Drosophila melanogaster: one gene and its partner. The protein of the gene in region 2 purifies or fractionates together with the protein of the main gene of each other region. This does not show direct contact. Each region holds a gene or a part of one and is shown on either strand. Other genes may lie near its edges.

What was found.
Region 1: the proteins of Adat1 (region 2) and DIP1 purify together in Drosophila melanogaster (affinity purification with western blotting, with the first as the bait; one study listed by BioGRID). This does not show direct contact.

Annotation. Positions count from the first base shown.
Region 1 is NC_004354.4:21,624,250-21,631,883, forward strand, and holds DIP1 (DISCO interacting protein 1), read right to left. Parts: upstream 5,900-7,634; 5' UTR 5,788-5,899; coding exon 5,725-5,787; exon of another isoform or gene 4,655-5,724; coding exon of another isoform or gene 4,595-4,654; exon of another isoform or gene 4,506-4,594; coding exon 4,112-4,505; intron 2,642-4,111; coding exon 2,064-2,641; intron 2,004-2,063; coding exon 1,806-2,003; 3' UTR 547-1,805; downstream 1-546.
Region 2 is NT_033779.5:13,807,828-13,813,312, forward strand, and holds Adat1 (adenosine deaminase, tRNA-specific 1), read right to left. Parts: upstream 3,648-5,485; 5' UTR 3,624-3,647; coding exon 2,752-3,623; intron 2,695-2,751; coding exon 2,382-2,694; 3' UTR 1,828-2,381; coding exon of another isoform or gene 1,208-1,827; 3' UTR 1,193-1,207; intron 1,141-1,192; coding exon of another isoform or gene 982-1,140; 3' UTR 533-981; downstream 1-532. Other genes in the region: CAH1 (carbonic anhydrase 1), read left to right, coding at 982-1,140, 1,208-1,827; CG16865 (uncharacterized protein), read left to right, coding at 3,818-3,938, 3,999-4,159, 4,225-4,530, 4,652-4,807; CG16888 (uncharacterized protein), read right to left, coding at 4,898-5,407. UniProt on the Drosophila melanogaster protein: Specifically deaminates adenosine-37 to inosine in tRNA-Ala.

The DNA.
Region 1 (7,634 bases), on a different chromosome or scaffold from region 2:
TGGCTCTAACTGCCGTGATATGGGCTTTCCAACTCAGCGTCCGATCAAGGTGAACTCCGAGGTAGCAATCGGATGAGACATAGTCAATTGTATTTCCGTCGAAGAGAAGACCTAGGCAGGTTTGAGGTCGCAGGGTAAATGTGACACAGGCCGACTTAGTGCAGTTAATGGTTATGTTCCATTTGAAAGTCCATCGATCGATTGCATGCAGCCATTCCTGAACTGCATTGGAAGCGAATTGCAAGGATGAGGGCGACGCAAGCATGGTGTCATCAGTAGGTACGTGGCCAGGATCAGCTGAGCAGGGGACGACTCATCGGTGTTGTTGACGGGTGTTGCATGTCAGCAGTGTACAGGGTTTGTGAAACCACTTCGCGGATTTCACCCAGGGAAACGCGGCGGTACAATACTTCAGTGTATGTCGTTTTATTCAAAATAAATGTATAATTTAAAAGCTGTCTCAATCAAGAGCATTGGGCAACATTGGACAAATACTCACTCTCATCAAGTATGAGCACAAGAAATCAAAATGCACTTTACAATTTTATATTCAATACATGTACTTATGTCTTCATGTTTTTAAAAATCAAGTAATTATACCACCCATTTAGCTTAATCTAGTTTACGACAAAAATGTAATTCACTGGTAAGCATAATTAATATTTGATACCCAATCTGCCACTGAAATCCTCTTCTGTGGAAGCGTTTTCAAAAAAACCAAACCCACAGTGTGTCGCAAAATACACGGAAAAAATTAATCAGCATTACCAAGGAATCCTGCGTTTAGATTATTCGGATAATCTTATCGGCTCTTGCAGTTCAAAATTATTCGTTGTTGAAAACGGCTCCGGCCCACCTAAAAAATCATAAGTAAGAGCTGTCCCAAATACAAACTAAATTGGGAAATTCTTGTTTAATATGCCTCTTCACTTTGACAGAAAAGGAATTCTTAAAGTTGCGCCATTGACGTCAGGGTCGCAATCTTCTGATTGCTGTCCGTTAAGAGAGGCATAGGTGTGTTGTCGTCGGCAGTTGGAGTCTGCGGTTGGAGTTGGTGTCTTAAGTGGTGTCGCTTAAAGTTGCGCCATTGACGTCAGGGTCGCAATCTTCCGATTGCTGTCCGTTAAGAGAGGCATAGGTGTGTTGTCGTCGGCAGTTGGAGTCTGCGGTTGGAGTTGGTGTCTTAAGTGGTGTCGCTTAAAGTTGCGCCATTGACGTCAGGGTCGCAATCTTCCGATTGCTGTCCGTTAAGAGAGGCATAGGTGTGTTGTCGTCGGCAGTTGGAGTCTGCGGTTGGAGTTGGTGTCTTAAGTGGTGTCGCTTAAAGTTGCGCCATTGACGTCAGGGTCGCAATCTTCTGATTGCTGTCCGTTAAGAGAGGCATAGGTGTGTTGTCGTCGGCAGTTGGAGTCTGCGGTTGGAGTTGGTGTCTTAAGTGGTGTCGCTTAAAGTTGCGCAATTGACGTCAGGGTCGCAATCTTCCGATTGCTGTCCGTTAAGAGAGGCATAGGTGTGTTGTCGTCTGCAGTTGGAGTCTGCGGTTGGAGTTGGTGTCTTAAGTGGTGTCGCTTAAAGTTGCGCCATTGACGTCAGGGTCGCAATCTTCTGATTGCTGTCCGTTAAGAGAGGCATAGGTGTGTTGTCGTCTGCAGTTGGAGTCTGCGGTTGGAGTTGGTGTCTTAAGTGGTGTCGCTTAAAGTTGCGCAATTGACGTCAGGGTCGCAATCTTCTGATTGCTGTCCGTTAAGAGTGTCCGTTATGTGTGTTGTCGTCGGCAGTTGGAGTCTGCGGTTGGAGTTGGTGTCTTAAGTGGTGTCGCTGTAGGTGAAGTTGGTGCCGAACAGAGAGTTGCACACTTTCACGGCCACGTTGCGACGGGCGATTTTCTTTGATCTGCCGTTGGCGTGGAACTCCTGGTTGTCCACCATGATTCCCAGATGCTGCATGCCGTTGGTCTTGTCGCCAGATGACCCGTAGTCCACGTAGTTGAGTCCCGGACGCATCTGCAGAGGAATTGATTACTGACACTGTACATAGTAAGGTAGTAAGGTGGGCTGGCCTACAATGCAAAGAATGGTCGCCGGGTGCATGGTCTCCCAGCCAGAGGGTAGCTCGGTGCGCACTGGCGGCTTCTTTGGCTCCTTCGGCACGGGGGGAACTGGAGTTCCGGCATCCCCTCCCGCCTGTTGGGCAGCATTGGCCGAAGGGTGCATCTCGGGCACGACATAGCCCTCCCGTTCCCACTCCGCGAACAGCTTGTAGATGGCAAACGAGGCCAGATTCAACATGGGCAGATCATCATCCGGTGCATCGGCCTCATCCTCGTTGATATCCATTGGCTCCGAACCCATCTCCACCTGGTGAATACGGGGCGGCTTGGGGGTCATTTTTGCAATAATAAAATCGCGCCAAGCCTTCTCGCAGGCCGCGTTCTTGGCTGTCATTTTCGAGGTACCCTTGCCCTCGTACTGATTCGAGTTGACAGTGACAACGGCCGTGAATCCCCCGTCGGTATTGCTGTCGATGGTGAAATCGCTGATGGTCACGCCCTTCACCTCGTTGAGGGCCATCAGAGCGTTCTTGGGGAGCATGGACTTGCGCAGCTGGCGGTTCTGTCGCAACTTCTTGTCCCGAGTGCGTTCTACGATAGAGTTAATAGACATATATACAAGAATATATAAAAATGAAATTTGAAGTTGTAAGTACAGCTGTGTTCATAAAAATAGCAGTGCGAGGGAAACTAAGTAATACAAATTTTTCCATGTCCCTTTTCGGAATCGACTATTTGTTCCACTTGTTAGTGTAAAATGGAATGTGTAGATAGGAATAAAAAAAAAAGAAAATTCCCTTAGCTTTACATGCCATCCTTTTTTATTTTTTATTTTTCATTTTCATTCTTGAGTAAAATCACAACTTTTAGGCTGTTCATAAGAATAGCAGTGTCTGGTTTTGACCAACGTAAAGTCCCGAAATTATCAATATTTTCTAAAAAGTGAGTTCGGTTAAGTTAATTCGTATATTTAAAAGGGCAATAAATTAAAAAAAAAAATAAAAAAAAAATATATTTTAGTGGCTAAAGGACAGCACTGCTCCCAGGAGAAAAGAATGTTAATTCTTAAGCTAAAAAAGAAAGGAAAAACATATAAGGACATTCAAAAAACCATACCAAACGTAAAACCACAGATATAGAGGATCGACGCATAGTTCGTTAAAACAAAGTCTATTCTTTTGCATACTCTAGGGACATGAAGTCTGAGCTGAACTTGGGAATCAGTGACGTTGCAATTCGGAGACGACTACTTAATCAAAATTTAAGTGCGAAGAGCCCACGAAAGGTGCCCCTACTTAGCCAAAGGCATATTCAGACAAGGATAAACTTCGCTATGGGCTAGTTTTTTTTACAATGGTATGAGTCCATAAAATATGATTTTTGGTATTATAGACCAAAAGCGCATATGTAAATATTCTTAGTGATGTCTTACTGTCATATTCTTAATATAATATGCCCTTAAAATGGTCATTCCAAAAGGATAATAATCCGAAACGTAGAAGCAAATCGGCTAGGTTCACCCAAAATAGAATAGATGCCGAGGACAGCACCATCTTCCGATTTAAACTCGATTGAAACCCTGTGGGGGGACATTAAACAATATGTGTCGAAGAACTGCCCGACGCCTAAGGCTCAGATTTGACAAGTTGTGCAGGATGCATGGTCGAAATTCCCCCCAAGCGTTGCCAGGACCTAGTGGACACCATGCCGCATGGGTGTAAGGCTGTGCTAGCTAACAAAGGCTATCCAACCAAGTGTTATGCCGTAATTAACATATTAAAAAGAAAAAGAATTTCTGCCTATTATGTTGTTTTAATCTACACTTTTGAAACTATTGAAGGAATAAATGTGAAACATGTTTTGAATTGTTCAAAATTAAATACCTAATGATATTATAAAAAAAATGGACCAATAAAACTATAAAACATAGGAATTTTTTATCTTAAACTCGCAACACAACTGTAAGTAATTTCCGGTCTGCCCTTCCATAAGAAACCTAGTGCTTTGTGTGAGCGTGTGAAAATTCTGGGAAATCTGATCACCAAAGGTTTCCTCGCTTACCAGACGACTTCTTGCGCTTTTGGAAGATTTTTTTAAATGGGATCTTGCCCCCGATGCCGCTGGCACTGGTACTGGCACTGGTATTGTCCTCTATATTGTCGACGGACGGTTCATCGTTGACAGAGATCGGCTCCTCCTTGATGATAACTGGCATGGGCAGTTTGGAGGCAATGGCGTCCGCATCCGGATTATTCTGCTGGTCGGACGAGTTGGCCAGTTGAACGGGGGCAGGAGCCCCTGGCGACTGAACAGCCAAAAATGCGTCCTGTGGCGATTGAACAGCCACCGGGGAGGCCGATGTCGGATATAAAGCCACCGGAGAAGACTGCTGCTCCTGGACATTGGCGGCCTGCAACGGCATTTGGATCAAAGGCTTGACGGTGGCATTGGGATTCTGCGTTTGCGAAAGAGTTTCATTAGTCGATTAGTTAGCGAAGGCAACGGGTTCCGCCTGGCTCGCCAGGCTACCCTAGACAAAATCACTTGCAGCGGACTGGTCCAGTGGGTCGACAAAAAAGCGACTCGCTGGCCAACGGAAACCATCAAGTCGTCAAGTTACCCGGAACCGTCAGGGTGGTCGGCTGGTCTACTTAAAACCATAGTTCCGGAACTAGCCATGGCCATTCCTGCGACCCAAGTGCCCCGAAACGAAGCTCTGCACCAACGGAGCCAACTGCCCAGCGACTGTGGATCTCCGTTTATCGGATCCAGCCGAGGACTCCGGGACCAGGTAGTCTATGCTAATCTATGAAAATCAGGTGTACTGCACTATTAGGGTAACCAATGTCTCTTTAATTCAATGGGCATAAAAACCGCAAAGTCCGGTTAACAAATAAATTCAGTCTCATGGTGAGTTAACTTTTCGCTAATGTATTCTGTTTGCAGAGAGGTTCGAGAAAATCTAATTCTAATTCTAATAGAATTTTCTCCGATATGCAAAAATAGAGTAAAATAATTGACTATCGACCTATACGTTTCACAATTCTGTCTATTTTAGCATGAAACAATAGTTATGGGGATCCTTCGGTCATCGGCTGAGTTCATGGTCGCCGGCTCGTTTCGGGCACTTTCGGTGGAGTGAATGGGCATTGCTATCTGACCCAAAACTAATAATTTTAGTTACAGTTTCGGGTGAATGCATTTTCAGTAGCCATAAAAGTTAGCGATAACCGCAAGTCCAGCGTGAAACTATAGCAGTGCTGGCCATATCTAGTTGATCGAAAGCACGAACGGAGTGGAATGAGTGCAATGCAAATGGGTGGGTTACGAATGTAAGGGGAGAGGGGAAGGTGGTGGATGTCTGGGGGGTGCATTGTGAATGCTGGTGGAATTCGGACAACGGTCTGCACTTTCGATTAACCCGCTTTTAGTGGCTATTGCAAATGAGTTCACAATTGTGGTGAATTGTGAATGAACACTTTCACTTTGTGCGCTGCAAATTATAGAAATAAAAACGAAAACTTTGTTATTTCACAAATCAAATATGGATGATTCCAACAATGGTTTTTGTTTTCGTGATGCATTTTCACTCGGAATACATATCTTCGTGACGTCACAGGGAATTCTTAACTCACACTCCTGCACACACTTGCAAAAAAAATTAAGATTCTTACGTAAATGCCTCCAAAGACAAATGGCTTGTTGTTTCCAGCAAATGCACGACGATTTCGCTTCATCTTGATTTTTTTTGTAATTTAATTTTTCACTTTTGTAATTCGCTTTTTCGCTTTTGTAATTTAATTTTTCACTGCTCAGGTCACAGAAAGAATCGTACTGCACTGAAGTAAAAAACTTAAGTAGGGATGTCAAAATATATGTAAATATATCGATATTTTTCACATATTTCGAAAATCGTTTTTAGTATTAAATATATTATAGACATTTCACACTGGCCATAGTAATATAAGCAAAGTGATGGAAAGACGGCGGAAAAAAAAGAGCAGACCAAAGATTTTATTGTGAAATAATTAAAAGCATGCTAAAAATAGCACGACGATGCTCTTTGGAAGTGCTTAAAAGTTATTGCGAAAATTTAGAATTGAAACAGTACTTCTGTATATCGCGAGAATATTATAGCTGTTAAATTGTGTGCATGGTAATTCCCTACATTTTTGTTTGACTGACTGACATTCAAATGTATTAAGAAAATAGTATAGAACTCGAACCATAAGCGCATGACTTTTCATGACTTGCAAACACAATTTGCCTGTCTGCAGCGTGGGCAAAATCTATAACGTCAACAAAAAACAGGAAATGTTTTCACACTGTGTTAACAAAAGTTTTGCGTTTCCTCAACTACAGCAATAGGAAAGTATGCGACTTTGTAAAAATGAACACCAAATCAACTGAATTAACTATCTACATTGGGATTAATAGGTGTGTTTTTCATATTATGCATATATTAAAAAAATACTAATGCTCAAAGTAAGGTAAGATACCTGTTACTTAGATAGTGGGAGTGCGACGGAAAATTTTCGACATTATTTTTGCATATCTATAGAAAGTTGCAAGACAAAAATTTTATTTAAAAAAATGAATATTTTTCAAAAGTGTGGGAATGACAGTTTTGGATAAACGAAAAATAGAATAGGTGTTCACACTGTGTTCACAAGAGTTTTGCGTTTCCTCAACCACATCAATAGGAATGCAAGCGAACTTATGAAAATTAACTATCTGTGTTGGGATTAATAGGTCAGTTTATCATATTTTGCAAATATATTTGCTATATATTTATATATTAATCGAGGTTTTTATTCTTTTACGAATATTTAAGCAGTGTCAAACTGCGCTGCATAGGCATACAGGCATAGTCCCTTAAGGTTCGCGAGGTTTCAAAGGTCACTGATTGGGCAGACGGAAAAAAGAATATGGGACAGCTCGACTCGTCTTGTGATCCTGGACTTACAGGGAACTCAATACACACATATACCAACCCACTTGCAGAAAATCAAAATCAAAATCAGAGTACGACTTACCGCGTATTTTGTAACTTTTATATTGTAATTGTAATTTAATGTTTCGCTGCTTAAGTCACAAAACTATTGACGAAAACAAATCAGGATCAAATAAAAACCACAAGGTAACCATATTTCTATGTTTAAATTGGAATATCTGAAATAAAGTGGTCCAATATTTTTAACTGAGGTCCACCCAAATAAAACGCCAAATAAAATACCTAATACTGTCGCAAAAGTTTTCTTCACTGCGGTACAAGAGCATGACCGAAATCAATATACGGTGTCCACGAATAGGAAAATCGTACACTGACAATAATCTAGTGTCAAATTTGTATAGCACCTATTAAAACAACGTTCTCAACGAGAAAACTTAAAGATAACATCTTAAATATAATTGTTTAGTCGCGTTTCCACATATGCACATACGCACATGTGCCAGTTTGAATTTGAAAATGAAATATGTAGAAACCAATTTTTAAACAAAAAGACATGAAAATACATGAATTTTGTTTTGTGTATATCAGAAGACTTGATTTGTGGGTTCCTTTCGTGAGTCTTCTTTTGAT
Region 2 (5,485 bases):
AAGCTGTTGACACCTTAAGCTCGGCGATCTATCAAATGACAAACGAGGCTTTGCCCGTTCGATAAGAAAACCCCTGCCGATTTCTGGGTACCATTACCAACGGCAAATGGTTCAATATTTGCTCCGATTCAGGCAAACAATCATATATTATACATATTCTGATTCCAATTCCCATAAACTTTTGCGGTTTATCTGCAGCGATCCTATCACATGACTCGGGTCTGCGGTCTTCCGAGTGATTCTACTGGCACGTGACGCGGTTCTCTGTGTCAATGTTTGCGCCACCAGTAATTAAAAAGAAGAATCCACATACACGCACATAAATCGCAACAAAATGCAGCAAACAGGGGAACAGCAAATACTTGTATTGCCTCAGCCGGTTGGTCAGATAAAAGGTCTATGCAAATATTATTATGACTGCCAGTTGGGCAAACGATTGTCAACTCTGGCGACATGTTCATAAATAAGCATCTTACTTAATGCTTCGGTAATCGCGAGTATAAGCAGCCATAAAAATATTAAGTCTTTGATTCATTTTTATTCCCATTTATTAGCTTCAAAGTCCAGATTCTAGTTGAAATATATACAATCTTTCATGTTTTTATAATAGAAATAATTTGAATTTAACAGCAAATTGTAGGAATAAATGAATTTGAAATGATTTTCGCTGTCTTCTGAAATTACTAGTACCATATAATAGTCGCCCTAATTATCGAATTAATGGATTAAACGAAATTCTTCAATTCCTTCCACATTTATTAGCTTCTATTTTTTCGGACATTAATCAATTTCCTGACCAGCCTAATGAGTTTTTAATAAACCCCAATGGAGTACTCCAATGAATTGATTTTAGTTGATTTATTGTTCCTTATCGACACAGCGAATTAGCACTTAGTTAAGTTGGTAAATTCGGGGAAAGCAAATACCTAATGACTTTGCCGCACGTTTACTTACCCGCCCCATTCAATGTTCCTATTTCAGGACCTGCCCACTGGGCCAAGGAGTACCCACAGGCGTCGGGACATCGTCAGTCGCCCGTGGATATCACACCCTCCAGCGCCAAGAAGGGCAGCGAACTGAATGTAGCTCCGCTCAAGTGGAAGTATGTGCCGGAGCACACCAAAAGCCTGGTCAATCCTGGTAAGAAATTCAAAGTTAACGTACTGTATTCTACTGAAATATTAATCCTTACCATTTGTTAATCTAGGCTATTGCTGGCGCGTGGATGTGAACGGCGCCGACTCCGAGCTGACTGGAGGACCGCTGGGCGATCAGATCTTTAAGCTGGAGCAGTTCCACTGCCACTGGGGCTGCACGGACTCCAAGGGATCGGAGCACACCGTCGACGGCGTGTCCTATTCCGGCGAGCTGCATTTGGTTCACTGGAACACCACGAAGTACAAGTCGTTTGGCGAGGCGGCTGCCGCTCCCGACGGCCTGGCCGTGCTGGGTGTGTTCCTTAAGGCTGGCAATCACCATGCCGAACTGGACAAGGTGACCAGCCTGCTGCAGTTCGTGCTGCACAAGGGCGATCGCGTCACCCTCCCCCAGGGCTGTGATCCCGGCCAGCTGCTGCCCGATGTGCACACCTATTGGACCTATGAGGGTTCCCTGACCACTCCACCGTGCTCGGAGTCGGTCATCTGGATCGTGTTCAAGACGCCCATCGAAGTGTCCGACGACCAGCTGAACGCCATGCGCAATCTCAATGCCTACGACGTGAAGGAGGAGTGCCCCTGCAACGAGTTCAACGGCAAGGTCATCAACAACTTCCGTCCTCCGCTGCCGCTGGGCAAGCGTGAGCTGCGCGAGATCGGGGGCCACTAAGTCGGTGGATGTTGGACAACTAAGTCCTTGGATAGTCAACGGATTCGAGTGTCGTATGATTAGCTTTTCGCACCCACACATCACATCCGTACGCCACGAGCTGGACCGGCACATCTCCATTGTTCAATTCTCGTCTTTAGTTCGTACGCCCAGCAAGAGCATACCTCCTATATGTGCATCCGTATCCGTATTCGCATCAGTGGATGCTTAGCTGTAACCTTAATTGTACATGTACGCCTGTTCGTTTGTTTGTCTGTTAAACGTTTGCAAAATGACAATTAGATTTATGTTATTATGGTATTATAAACTAAATATAACACGCTTAGATGTTGCATATGATAACCTAACTGACTTTCAATTCTGTGGAAATAGTTACTTTAAAGGGAAGCTATAATCCGAAGTTATTTCATCTCTGATAAGGACATTTTCAGCAACTACACATTTTCAAGAAAGCAATTGAAGGAGCTTAGACCAGAAGTTCCACTTCATCCCAACTTTAGCAATAAAATACTTGCTTGGTCTGCATCTTATCCTCGTTTCACTGGCACGAAGTGTCATTTATTTGACATTGGATTAAAGTCTAGCAACTCGTGTGGTTTTTTGGTCCATTGGAGAAAGTATTTCTCTTTGATTTCCCGCCAGGCAAACTGGTAATCTCTGGCCAAGTCTTTACAGGAAGCATAGGCGATACGCTCAGGATCGGAAAGCTGTTGATCGAACATTTCACTTAGCTTCGGATTGAACTTTACCAACTCTAGAAATGTAAGGAACAGCTTGTACTTGCTGATCGCCAGTGCAGCTTGTGAAGTTTTCATCTTTTTCTTAGTTACTCCTTGACGCTTTCCATTTACGGAAATTTCATAGGGCCTGCGTGTTAGGAATATATGTTTAGATCTGAAACTGTCTAGCTAAAAGGACCCTTACCTTAATTCTTCTGGGACCTGGGACCAAATCAGGCCATTGGGGGATGGCTGCCAGTCGGAGCGTTGGGAAAATTCAAATCTTATGCCAGGATCAATGTTTATCTGTGGCCTTTGAGGCTGGAAGCGCGTGTGCTTAAATGTCCTACAATCGAAACGTTTAAAGATGGCACGTTCCAAAGATTCCAGCTGCGCATCGTCACAGCAAAAGTTCAGGCTGCTAAAGTAGATGGGTTTGGAGATCAATACATCCAGTAGTGCCCCCTGCACGCCTATGACATTCCATCGCGCTATCTTATCACTGCAGGACATGGATAGAGTGCGCTCTCCACGTCCGGGCTTCGTTCGCAGAGCTCCTGGCGTCTGCAACATTGGATCATCGCTAAGGTCACTTATTAGTTTGGCACCCGTATAGACCATCTCGGAATCCTCATCCAGCCGCTGGCGTTTGGCCCGCGCCGCTGGTTGCTCTTCCTCAAGGATGCAGGCATCCCCACAAGGCGTTTGTGTGCTCAGAAAGTGGAACTCCACGTGCTCATCCATGTCGTACGTACTTAGCGTGCTGTTCCAATGAAAGATTCTATCCTGCTTGAGCTCCTGGTATAGAAAGCGAAGAAATCCACGACGTGCCAGCACCTCGGCATGGGAATCATTCAGGATGAGGCCATTGGGACAAAGTTTGGATTCTCCAATGCACTTTGTTCCGCATCCAAGCGAAACTAGTTGACATGCTTCCGTGTTCCGGTTGAACTCCACGATTCCCGCCAAAATTGTCCATTGATTGGCTGTGGGCTTTCCTGTTTTTGGCAAGGACTCGAATTTTTTTAAACAAAGTTCCGCAATTTCCTTAACAGTCGGTTTTTTGTTATCACACATTTTTGTTTATATTCGCAAATGTGCGAACCGATAAGTTCGGTAATCGAATAGCAATATCGATTGGCGTGTTGCATTGTTTACCTTTTGCTTGCACACTCTGGTCTCACTGTTTATTTATTTACTTGCGGTGTTTAATGAAATAGGAAATTACTTTAATTTTATAAGTTTCATAAGTCCGAAACCCACAAATAACCATGCCCAAAGTAGTGTCGCGCAGTATCGTCTGCTCCGATACCAAGGATCAGGAGGAGTACAACGAGGAAAAGCCGCTAAACATTTACTACTGTCTGTGCAACAAGATGGCTCTGATTCTGGGTAAGATTACTGGAGCCAACTAACTGAAAGCATAGTACATCATGTTTGCCTATCCTACAGATTGCACCCTCGAACAGTTGCCGCTACGAGAGGTGGACAACGCCCGTGTGATAAACGCCAACGACCATGCCAACAAACTCACCCACAATCCCACACCGAGGATGGTCTACATCAAACGCAAGAGCAGGGGCAATGGGATCGAGAAGCAGTACCGCTACAAGGTGAGTAGCTGACTTCCACTCCTTACCCGTCATTAGTTCACCTAATGTTTTCCTTTAACCTTCAGTGCCGAAGCTGCAGTCTGCCGCTTTACTATCGCCACAGTCCCGACTCCCACGTAACCTTCGTCATGTCCAATGCCCTAATCCGCAACAAGGGTGAGAGTCCTCTCACACAGCTGCTGAATTCGGAGATCAAGGGCAGTTTCAAGGCACCGGCTGCCAAGCCAGCGACTTCCGCCGGTCCAGACGATTCGGGTATTGTGGATGCCAGTGGCAAGAAGGTCGTCGTCACCAGACACACGAAGAACATGGGCAAGTTCAGCTCGGTCACGGTGTCTACCATCGACGAGGAGGAGGATGAAATCGAGGCGGTAAGTTTGTCAGCTAAAGTTGGTTTGTAAATGGTGCAGGAAATCCAATCTATCATTGCATCATCTACGAACAAACCTACAACTCTTTCAAACTAACCATTTTTTTTGTTCATTCAAACAGCGCGAGATCGCAGACAGCTATGCGAACAACGCAAGGATTATCGAGAAGCAACTGCAGCGCAAAGGCGGAAAATTGAGCGATGTGGGCATCAAAACCAAGACAGAGGACGCACCTCCGCCGCAGAAGAAGCAGCGCGGCACGCTACTGGAAAGATAGTCACACTCTGCCTCCTTATTACCCACAACTAAATATATTTGACGACACAAATGGCTGGCATTCTTGGAAGAAAAATTGCAATTTATCTAGTTATAGCATACGCAAATAGTTTGACCTTCTATGCTGTCGTTTTGGCAGCAAACTGGGATGCTGTGCCAGTAGCTTCTTCAGTCGCTGCTCGGCGTGCTGGTGATTGAGAATCGAGTCCTTGACAAGCCCACAACTGGGACATAGATTGTACTCCGACTTTGACTTTTTGACGATCGCTGGACGCACGCGAGTCTCCATGATCAGCTTCATTCGATTCGTGGTACGCGGCGAGTTGTGCAGAGCAGTGAGTGGACGGCACTTACTTCTTGGCGAGGATTCGGTCCGTTCCAAAGCAGCCTTCTCCTTGCTCCTGACCAGCTCGAGTGCACGATTCGCTCGGGCTTTGGCCAGCTGCAATTCGAGAGGCGCCTTTGGCAGGTTAAAAAAGAAGTGGGTCCACTTATCGCGCAACTGTTCGATGGCCTCCGAGTTGAATAGTGAGCTGGAACGATTGGAGGTATGGGGTCCCCATTCCGCGTTCCCGATGCAACTCAATCTATAAGCGGACATTGAAACCTGAAGTATTATACACTGAAAATTTGACAACAAAGTAAAAGTGTACATATATGTGTATATGTATACTATATA